Drosophila melanogaster: one gene and its partner. The protein of the gene in region 1 interacts with the protein of each later gene in a pairwise test. Each region holds a gene or a part of one and is shown on either strand. Other genes may lie near its edges.

Evidence for each region. Proteins that work in one complex are often made in the same cells at the same time.
Region 2: the proteins of pck (region 1) and mRpS17 interact in a two-hybrid assay, tested with the Drosophila melanogaster proteins (one large-scale study listed by BioGRID).

The regions. Positions count from the first base shown.
Region 1 is NC_004354.4:1,467,519-1,473,449, reverse strand, and holds pck (pickel), read right to left. Parts: upstream 2,785-5,931; 5' UTR 2,655-2,784; intron 2,603-2,654; exon of another isoform or gene 2,583-2,602; 5' UTR 2,466-2,582; coding exon 2,387-2,465; intron 2,311-2,386; coding exon 2,102-2,310; coding exon of another isoform or gene 2,043-2,101; coding exon 1,847-2,042; intron 1,793-1,846; coding exon 1,506-1,792; 3' UTR 1,125-1,505; downstream 1-1,124. Other genes in the region: CG14780 (uncharacterized protein), read right to left, coding at 1-214, 280-574, 634-884; CG14778 (uncharacterized protein), read right to left, coding at 2,890-3,048, 3,111-3,293, 3,353-3,435, 3,497-3,632; CG32808 (uncharacterized protein), read left to right, coding at 3,804-4,289, 4,352-4,720; CG14777 (uncharacterized protein), read right to left, coding at 4,833-5,003, 5,068-5,199, 5,265-5,398, 5,486-5,639.
Region 2 is NT_033778.4:24,171,958-24,177,028, reverse strand, and holds mRpS17 (mitochondrial ribosomal protein S17), read left to right. Parts: upstream 1-2,587; 5' UTR 2,588-2,661; coding exon 2,662-2,769; intron 2,770-2,833; coding exon 2,834-3,193; 3' UTR 3,194-3,364; downstream 3,365-5,071. Other genes in the region: Nop60B (nucleolar protein at 60B), read right to left, coding at 1-136, 198-602, 838-1,112, 1,305-1,556, 1,633-2,001, 2,062-2,074; CG3328 (uncharacterized protein), read right to left, coding at 3,633-3,713, 3,774-3,993, 4,191-4,702, 4,758-5,071.

The DNA of each region.
Region 1 (5,931 bases):
GCTCTGCGCATCCGTAGCCCCAGGAGACCACACCCACCAGACGGCCCTCGTGCACCAACGGTCCGCCGGAGTCGCCTTGACAAGAATCGGTGCCGCCCTGCAGGCGTCCTGCGCACATCATCCCGGGCAGCAGGCCGGACCTGTAGATCATGCGGCAGGTCTGGTGCCGGATGGTGCTCACGTTGGCCGTCAGCAGGATGTTGGAGAGGGAGCTCTGGGAAAGAGTCAGATAAGCTGCGGGCTCAATGGCTTGCCTACGGCTCTACAAATCCGACTCACCTGCTCGGTTCGACCCCAGCCGGCCACCTGGCACAGCTTGCCGGGGGGCGTGATCTGGCCCGCCAGCTGGATGGGGGCCACTGTGAGATGGACACCACCGCCTGGAGACATCGGCAGCCCGGTGCGCAGAAAAAGGATGCCCACGTCGTCGCGCATGCTGTCCGGGCTGAAGGTGTGCATGTAGGCCATGGAACTCACCTGGGACACGATGGTGCCATTGCGGTGCTCGAAGCGGTTCAGCGTGCCCAGAACCACTACGAATTCGCTGGCCCGCCGAAAGCGCTTTCTCTGATTGCTGCTGGCATGAGTTCGATCAAAAGGGAGCGGGCACCCCATGGTGGGATCACTACTTACTTGTACAGGCAGTGCGCTGCGGTCAGAACCTTTCTGGGCGCGATTAGCGCCCCGCCGCAGATGTGGCCGCTTCCAAAGTTGTTGTCGTGGCGGAGAAGGCGGATGGAGACCAGGTGGCGCGTCTCGTCCGCCTTGGCCACGCTTCCATTGATGATGCGCGACTGCTGATTCTCCTGAAGGTCCGCCGCCGCGCAGGCGAGAAGGAACCAGAACAGAATGTAGCTGCAGCCGTGCAGGCCAAACTGAGTCATCGCAGATCAGATGAGAAGAAACAGAGCGCACGAAACTCACTGAATCGAGGGGTCGAGTCTGGGAGCCAGCAGCCCAAACTAACAATTGGCAATCAGCGGAGGCGCTATCAGTTCGATAAGGCAAACATAAACATATTAGGTGTAGATCACATCCGCACCTCATCACCAGGAACATGTAGCTGGGGGTCATGATGGGGAAACCAGGGCGGAGATGATCAATCTGATCAGTACGTTTAGCTTCGCAAGTTCAAATAATACATTTAATTCAATGTTGATATGTCTCTACACCAGTTTGCTTATAAAAGGTGGAATATGGTCTAAAAATTTAAGCTGTAAACATTTTTGAGCCTATATAAAAAGTATAATGGTAGATGTGTAAAAAGTTAGTGGATCTTTTTGGTCGCACTGATCTTACGTTTAGCTGTACGTGCTATTTAATACAATTACAAACGGATACGAGCTGATCTCGGCTGAGTCGGCGTGTATATAGATACATATGGTCGATTGTTAAAGGCACTATGGACGGCGTCGATTGCGCAGATTCGAGGCACGAGATTGCGTCTGAAAACTTAAGCTAAGATCCAATCGGAACGGAATGTATGGAAGTCGGGCGGACAGCTGTTATATGTAGCCCTGCAGGCTCCGCGACTGGCTGTGGTGGTGGCGCGGCGGCTGGTAACCCGGCTCCTGCATCTCCATTTGCATTACCAGGTTCTTCTGCTCGCCGCGGGCGTCGTAGGCTTGCCGGGCCTCGCGCTGCAGGATCAGAGCGGCTAGACCAAGGAGCATGAAGGTGACAACGGCCAGGGCGTAGGACCAGCCCAGCACGTTGAACTTGGGGTACATCATCCAGTCGCGGCGGTAGGCGCAGCCCCCGAAGATGCATACGGCCAAAAACATGAACAGAGCTGTGGGAGACCGCTGTTTAGCTAGTACTTATTGGGCGGGAGGCAGATACATACACGAGATGGCGGTGCCCATGTAGGAGAGGCGGACGAGCAGCCACTCGTACTGCAGAACGGCCTTAAGAGGCAGTCGGATGATGGTAAGCGAGAGCAGGGCCAGCACAAGGAACACGATGATGAAGGACATGGTCACGAAGCCCTGCACCGCCATGAGCCAGCCGGGCAGCAGATACTCACGGATAACGTAATACTCCTGTACGAGTGGGAGAAGATCAGGACAAGGATAAGAACCGGCCAGTTTGCTGTACTCACGTGCGAGAAGATGTTGTGGCAACCGGTGAACTGCTTCAAGAACGCGTACTTGGGGTACACGAAGTCCTTAAAGCAGTACTGCCACAGGCCCATGTTCTTGAAGCTGGCCCGCGTCTCCTCGTAGGACTCGATCCAGTACGGCGAGCAAAAGGACATCATCAGCACGAAAAAGCTGGCGAATGTAACTATGGCGCCGAAGACCACGCCATCTGGAAAGGGAATTGGGCATTGAAAGTATTTGGATGCAAATGCAGATCGGCCCGCATGCTTGAGTGCGTCACTTACTGGTGGCCCGCGGATAGTCGCCCTTTTCGACGCCCGAGTCCGTGGTGTCCTGCGACTGCTGCTTGTTAAGTTCGCGCATGCTGCTGTCCTGGGTCTCGAGGGATCGCAGTTGGAGCAGAGGAGTTTCTTTTCTGGGGATTGTCAGTAAACAAATACAACGCACACACCCAAAAAATGCAGCAACAACTAGGTGGGGCTAGCGATGGGACAGTGTCGATAAGAAATGTGGTGGGGCTCGGTCGATATACCGCGAATTATTTCAAAATACCTTTTTATTAAATTTATTACTTTAGGCTTGTTGATCTTCGGAAAGAGGGGCTATTTTGCAAAATGCTGTTTAAATATAAAACAAACCCATGCACAATCGATATTTTTTCACCCCTAGGTGAGCCCAGTGTGACCAGTACTTAGTGCAGAATACCGTTCTTGGTTTTTAATTCCATTCATTTCGTTCAATAATTACTATTTTATTTAATGCTGTTTGAGAAATACGATCATGTCCATCAAATGGCCCCGTCCACCTCGTGGTGCTCCAGGTGCTTCATGTAGGCCAAGAAGCAGGTCCAGCACAGGCTGCACGCGCTGATGAATGGCACCCGGTTGCGCTCGGGGATCAGGGTGAAGTTGATGGTGGCCACCAGTGGCCATACGGACAGAGCCACCTGCAAGAGCGATGGAATTGGTGGGTTAGGCGGCAGTTCTCCCTCGAATCCCAAAAGAGTACCTTGTACGTGGGCAGGAATTTCTTGCCGACCTCGGCTACCGCCTGCTCCACCGTCTTGGACTCCAGGAGGCTCATGATAAAGTAGAAGCAGGTCATCGCGCCGGGGGTGTACGAGATCGTCTCCACCGCCGCCTTAATGACGCCCGTCCTCAACGATGTCTGCGGCCACATGGCGCTGGAAATCTGAGGAGCAATCGGAATAGGAGTAGACCTAAACAGCAGCCATGTAAACGGTCACTAACCTTGACCCATCCGTAGAGGGTAGGAGCAACAAACAGACCACCGTACATGCTGAACCGGAGCACGCGCCACCAGTCGTAGGTGCCTGTAAGATGAAGACGAGAAGGATAAGGAGCTGAGAGCTGCTCGAAAGAATGCCGACTCACCCCAGCGCCTGCCCTCAACCGTTTGCTGGATGAGGCTGCCCGTGGGCCAGATCAGGCTGTACGATATCATGCCGCGCATAATCGGGTAGCGGGTGACGAACACCTTGAAGTTTTGCCACAAAAGTGGGCCCGCCATCGCAATCTCGGCCCTGCGGAGTCACAATCGCGCGGTTGGCATCTCATTAGCATGGCTAATACTTCAGGCCCACAACTGCATGGCCAGCTCTACCCACATAAAACCCACAAGCGAATGCGGGCCCCAATATTCCATAAATTGCCCTGCTCTACCTGTGAACCGTGCACATAGATGGCCGTCATGGCTTGGCTAGCAAGGCTCGCACTTTTCTACACGGCAACCTTCCTTCTGGCAGGAGCCTCTGGCGAGGATGGAAAAATCGTCAACGGCACTACAGCTGGCCCGGGGGAGTTTCCCTTTGTGGTCTCGCTGCGACGCGCGAAGAGCGGACGTCACTCCTGCGGCGCTACGCTGCTCAACCCGTACTGGGTCCTGACAGCCGCCCACTGCGTGCGAGGCTCCTCGCCAGAGCAGCTCGACCTGCAGTACGGCAGCCAGATGCTGGCGCGAAACTCCAGCCAGGTGGCCCGCGTGGCCGCCATCTTCGTCCATCCAGGGTACGAGCCGGAGGACAAGTACGTCAACGACATCGCATTGTTGCAGTTAGCGCAGTCCGTCGCTTTGAGCAAGTTTGTCCAGCCGGTGCGTCTGCCGGAGCCTCGACAAGTCACGCCCGGAAACGCCAGTGCTGTCCTCGCGGGCTGGGGATTAAATGCGGTAAGAGAGAAGCCATTCCTCCTTCAGACTCCTTGACTATCGACTGAACCTTTCAATTGTAGACGGGCGGCGTGGTCCAGCAGCATCTGCAGAAGGTCAAACTGCAAGTGTTCAGCGATACCGAGTGCAGCGAGCGCCATCAGACCTATCTGCACGACAGCCAGATCTGTGCGGGATTGCCCGAAGGTGGAAAAGGCCAGTGCAGCGGCGACTCCGGAGGCCCGCTGCTTCTTATTGGCTCCGACACCCAGGTGGGCATTGTTTCTTGGAGCATAAAGCCCTGTGCACGGCCACCGTTTCCGGGCGTCTTCACCGAGGTGTCGGCCTACGTGGACTGGATTGTAGAGACGGTAAATAGCTATTCGCCCCCGTCGTCGCTTTGGGTGGGCCAGCTGATTGTGGGACGATCCCCGCCTAGCCTAAGCAGCTAATGGATTTAACAGGCCCCATTAAAATACGGATTAACATACGCTACCGCTATCTAATTCAACAATTGGCCTAACAATTGGGAGTCACAAAAGGTAACAAATACGACTCAGGTAACTATGTACAAGGCAGAACCGCGGAGTTCGACTGCTCCTCGTGGTGCGTCTTCATGTACGCCAGGAAAATGGTCCACATCAGGCTGCAAATGCTTACAAACACCACGCGGTTGTGTTCCGGCACCAGCGAGAAGTTAATGGTCTGCAGGATAGGCCAGATGCATACGCCGACCTGGAGGGTTAGTAATGAGTTGGATGTTAGCGAGGGGAGCAGCAAGCAACGGGATAGGCCATACCTTGTACGTGGGCGCCGCCTTCTCCTTCGTCTCTTCCACGGCCTGACTAAAGGTCTTCAGCTCCAGCAAGCTCATTCCCATGAAAAAGCTTACGCAAGCGAATGGTCCGTAGGAAAGCTGTTCCGTGATGGCCTGCAAAGAGGCGGTTGAGCTTGGTCCGCTGCGACTGAGGAGCCGGATTGAGTCTGAGTCCTTACCTTAACGATGCCCGTGCGCAGATTAGTCTGCGGCCACATGGCGCTGGTGAGCCGCACCCAGCCGTACAGAGTGGGCGCCACGTACAGAGCTCCAAACAAGCTGAAACGTAACGCCCTGGCCCAGTCGTACTCGCCTGCGGATCGTCGTCAGCGAGGAAAGAGGTTGCGGATGAAGAGCAGGAAACGGTTATGGATGCGATTGGTGCGGATTAATTACTTACGCAGCTTGCGTCCCTCCATAGCCTGCTGGATCAGGCTGCCCGCCGGCCACATGACCGCGTACGTGAGCGCGCCCTTGGCCATGGGATGCAGCTTGCTCCCTCGACGCCACTGGCCCAGCGAGGCCTGCAACAGCTTGACGGCCGCAGGCACCATCACTTATGCTGCCCGGAAGGAGACATGGAGAAGGGTAACGGGCGGGTCTTAGACTATTGCTCAACCTAAACCAAAACAACGACAGCAACGACGACGAAGGGGAGGTCGGCCTTCCTAGCAATATTCGAAGGTCATTGAATGCGCGCCGCGGGGACAGGAGCTGGCCATGGTACTTAATATGGAGGGTACTTGCTGTGATCTGTGCTCTCTGGTATGTGGCCTGTGGCTATGGGGTTTCGATATCGCTATGGGCTGTTCGCCTGCGCCGAATGCCGCACTGAAACTGCACGAT
Region 2 (5,071 bases), on another chromosome or scaffold:
CCTCCTCCTCAGCGGCTTCTGGGGCTTCCTCGTCGCCCTTGTGCTTCTTTTTCTTCTTCTTTTTGTCCTTGGAAGGAGTCTCCTCGGATACCGCCGCCGCAGCAGTTTCCTCAACGCTGGAGGTGCTTAACTTGCGCTAAAGGAACACAATTATTTAGCAAGTGAATACCATGTTAAACTCATTTTCAATAACATACTTTGCTGGGTTCACTGGAGCCATTTGTGGGGGAGACTTCTTGAGCTGCTGGCTTCTTGGCATTGTAGTCGACATAACCGGTCAGCCACTCCTTAGGTGTGTTTTCATTGGGCCTTCCGAACTTGTCTAGCTTGCCGGCGGCAATGAGCGCCTTCTTGGCCGACGCCTTTGGTCCCAATCCCCACTTGCGCGGGTATGTGTCTCGCTCCATGATCACTCGCTTGATCTTGGCCACCACACCATGGTCACAAGAGGCCATAGTGGCTGTGGTCATGAGGGCGATGGCCAGGCAAATGGCCTCACCCTTGGTGGTGCAAATGACGATCTCCTGATCGATTTCAATGCCATCCTCGTAGCGCAGGACACCGGGCAATGTAATCTTGGCACCATAGCAAACGGCGTTGACCTGGAGAAAGATTGATGGTTGTTAGTTGATATCATAAGGGGGTCCTTTGCTAGAGGAAATGTCGACCGAATATTCTTTGTCGAGCGCGCAGGATAAGAGCGCTGCCCAACATACACACATCAGCAGCTTTGCTGTTCCCAATCATAGTCACAGGTGCCCGTGGGGATTGCAGGCACCTGCCGGCTTAATATCATGGGGTACTACTTCGCAAACGGCAACTGGATGTCAAACTTACCGAACTGTCCTTCATAATAATGCGCTTGTGGTTGACCAGCAGACCTTCTAGCGGCTTGATCACACGTCGCAGCATAGACTCGTCCTTGTGGTTTTCGTACAGCCACATGGCGTCCAAAACATCGTGCATGGTCACCATACCATCGCGCTCAGACTGAATGCCCGAGCGGACACGGCGGAGCTCCAGCATCTGGCCACCGACACCCAGTACGAGACCAAGATGGACGCACATGGTACGGATGTAGGAGCCGGCCTCGCAACTAACCCAAAAAACACCTGAGCACGTGAGTGGGCAGAATTGGAGGAGAGAAAAAGACGAGGTTTTAACAATTACATTGTGCATTTGCTGTGTTAGGCAAATACTGGTGTTTCACTGGCTGAAGCAGGCTGCACCTCTGCAGGATAAACTAATCCAGCAGCGACGCACCAACTCTGAGCGAGAATGGATAAACAAAACTTCTGACTTACCCATATTTCGGGTTTCATCGTAGTCCAACAGCTTGCTGTCGTAGACAGTACGAACGCGCAACTGACGCTTTACGGCGGAGATGAGTGGAGGTCTCTGGAAGAGGGCACCACGCAGCTTCTCCAGGCCCTGACGCACCTTGGCCACCGACTCCACGGCTCCGTGCAGCTTGAAGATGGCCACGTACTCCTTGCCGGCGCTCTGCTGGGACTTCACCAGACGGGTGGCCCTGTCAATACAAACAATCAGGCAACCTGTAGGAAAAAAAAACACGCGGCACACAATGAGGTTAGGTTTGTATGGCGGTAGGCGAGCACGCGCTTCACTTACCCGTGACTTTGGGATCCAGCGTGCCGGAGTGGCCTGTCTTCTCCACCTTGAGGATTTTCTTGATCCAGGCCACCACCTCGTGGGAGCTGGGGTTCGACGGCTTGTCCAGGTTGATGAAGCCAGTCTTCATGTACTCTTTGATGTCGCGGTTCAGGGGCGACGATCCGTGCGCCAGCGGAGTGTAGTGGTTGGAACGGATGTTCAACTTGTCGAAGTTCTTCAGGAGCAGCGGCCATTGCGAGGTGTCCAGCTCGGCGATCTTGGAGGAGGGCTTGATTTGGAAGTTGCCCTGCTTCTGCAGCGTGCCAATGTCATCGCCGTCCAAGGGCTCCTCCTTGATCTTCTTCTTTTTCTTCTCCTTGCGTACTTCTGCGGGCGCATAGTCCGTTTATTTGGGCACTCTTTTAATTCATCACTTGCCAGACTTACCCACGTCGGCCATTTTATCTACGTTTTCTGCTAAATCAACTAATAGACGGAGAGAAACCTCCGCACGTGTTGCGCGCTGCGAGAAAATGGACGAAAAACACGTGGAGTGCGCGGTCTATCGATAAGTGTGACTACACAGAAATGTATTTCATGAAGACATCGATACATAAATGGAAATCTTGCGATATGTCATCGTGAGCCGAATTCCTTATTACAATTTTGAATTAAAAATATGTATTATTCATAAACAAAATGAATTTAAAGGTATTTACTTTGACGTAAACATTTTTAATCCATTAAAGCATTATTTAATTGAAAAGATATGTTATGTAAAACTGATACACTGTTTATAGTACGGTGAAAATGTTATGTCCTTAGAATCCACTTGTTTTTGCGATGAAAAGTCATACTACCCTACTTTTTAACTGACGCGTGCAAGCTGATTGCATTTGGCGGGATTTTGAAAATCAGAAACTGCTGAGTAAAAAATATCGAAATATTGATAGTTCCAGGCCCAATCGATACTATCGCCAGTGATCTACCAGCTGTGTTTCCCAACCGGTTGTTTATTTTTCTAAACTCTTAAATTAAATTAAAGTAATGTCGAGGCGAGGACTCCTACTAATGGGCCAGTGCATGCCCTGCATCAAGCAGAACGCCTCCAAGATCCGCATTCGCCGAATGGAGCTGGACAAGAACCTGAATATGGTGTGCATAATATACATTAGATCTCGCCTCAGGAGATTTCACACAATTTCCCTTCTGCTCGCAGTACTTTAAGAAGGACGAGTTCTACTTCGCCCACGATCCGCAGAAGGTGTGCAAGACCGGGGACGTGGTCCTGATACGGGAACTGCCAGAGCGCCTCACCCGCCTCATCACGCACAACGTGGAAAAAGTGGTCTATCCGCTGGGTGACATAACGGACCCGCTCACTGGCAAGAAGGTGGTCGTGGGCAATTACCGCGAGGACATCGAGATGGCCAACCAGCTGTTCGGCAAGTCAGAGAAGGCCTTCGACTACGAGAAGGCACCGCCCCGCGGTCGCCTGGAGGGAACCAAGGACTTCACCCACGGGGAAACATACATCAAGTACCACGAGGATGGCAAGGATCAGCCGTTCGCCGTTTAGAGCTCTGCCGGTCGTTTATCTGTTAAGTTTCCCCTTTGTTTAATAGTAAAGTGCATTAATATGACGTACATATGTTTCTCGGTTTTCTTATAAAATGGTTAGGCCGACGAAAGAAGATATTTTTATAGGTTTTTGATTGCTTGAATTGAATTAAAAAGGCAGGTTTAAAAGATTTCTCTACATATTTTATTTTAATGGTCGATAGTTGTTTTTTTTTTTTTGCATTTATTGATGATTTGTTGTGTATACGTATAAATGTATGCATTTTCAACTTCCTCTCGCTGATCAACAGTTTTTGATTATTTAATTTTTGAATTTTCCTAATTCAAACGATTTTTCCGCGCCAGGTGCCAGGACACATCCGCAACACCGAAACGTGCTGCACACGCACATGGTTTTAGAGTTCAGATTCGGTCCGTGCCATAAATTAAGCTGAATACTAATCACAATCTCTTACGATCCTAAAGTTGTACTGGAGTATGGGGTTTGCCGGGTGAGCGTTGTCGTCGCACAGTTTTTGCTGCAACGAAAAGGAGGCTAGAGTCGCTGGATTTCGCGTTAATGCGTCCGGATAACGCACCTGCTCCAGGTCGTGGCTGGCGCGGAGCATAAACTCCCGTAGGAAGTAGCCGCGGGCGGGAAGATCCAGGGCCAGGCTCAGTTTGTTCTTGCCCTGCTGCTTGAGGATCTTCACCCCGCTGGTGGACTCGGCCTCGTCATCCTCGTTCAGCTGGCCGTTGGCACTCGGCTTGGCCTGATCCTCGTCGACGCAGATGGACCACTGCAGCGGCTTGTTGGAGCTGTTGGATATAGATGGTAATAAAATAAGTGATTGTAAAGAATTCATTAGGAGTCAATGGAACTTTGAATGGGTTCAAGGGCAGTATGATTTTGTATGTAAACACATACTGCATTTGTATCTTTAAGATACTTTAAGATCTTACCGAATTCGAATACATTTGTTACAGAATAATGAAATAAAGTGTACCCAACTAACCTCAGATGGAGCTCCAGACTACTGGCCTGCAGATAGCGCGATACCGGAACCACATAGCTGACATTGAGGGAACTGCCCGAGGTGGGACAGAACTGCTCCACGTCAATGGTGTGGTTGTACTGGGCCGCTAGGACGCAACTGGCCACACTCCAGCAATCCAGCTGGAAGGGCGGCAGCACGGACTCGTCGGCCTTCGGCCCCTGATCCTGCCCAGAGGCGGATTGCAGAAGGCGGTAGACGGGATCGTCCTTGGCTGCGACCACCGGTTCGGTCTGCTTCTTGGTCAGGGCGTCGGTGCCGTGTGAGCTCTTGCCCAGGAATCCCGGCTGGGCCTCCAGCGCGGCGGAGGTCTCATTGCCTATTGAGACAGCGGGTTGGGTCTCAACGATGTCCGGATCATGTTCCTGCTCCTCCGCCGACTGCAGATCGTCCTCCACGTGCTGCTCCTTCACATTGGCATCCACATTGTCTGGCTGAGGATGAGTCGGCGGCAGTTCCTCGAAGCAAACGGACTGGACAGGATGTAGAATAAGTACCTGGATGCGCATCACTCTAGCTGAAGCTTACCTGACAATTGTCGCTAACCGACTCATCCCCATTGCACTCCGCTGGCTGTCCAAAGATGGCCGTTTTGATGTCCTTCTGTCTGATCCACTCCAGACTCCGCTGATTGGCAGACCGCCTGCCCAGATTGGACTCCCGCAAGCCCGACTCCTGGTACTCGAATCCGAACACCTGGGTGATGGGATTGTCCACGGACTCGTTGGTGTTGCTCAGGTTCTGTAGGTCCAGAGCATCGGGATTGTCGCTGCTGTTTCTCACGGGAAGAGCCGGGGGCGGCACATCCAGAGCGTGTGTTAGTGGACTCTGGGCGGGCTCAG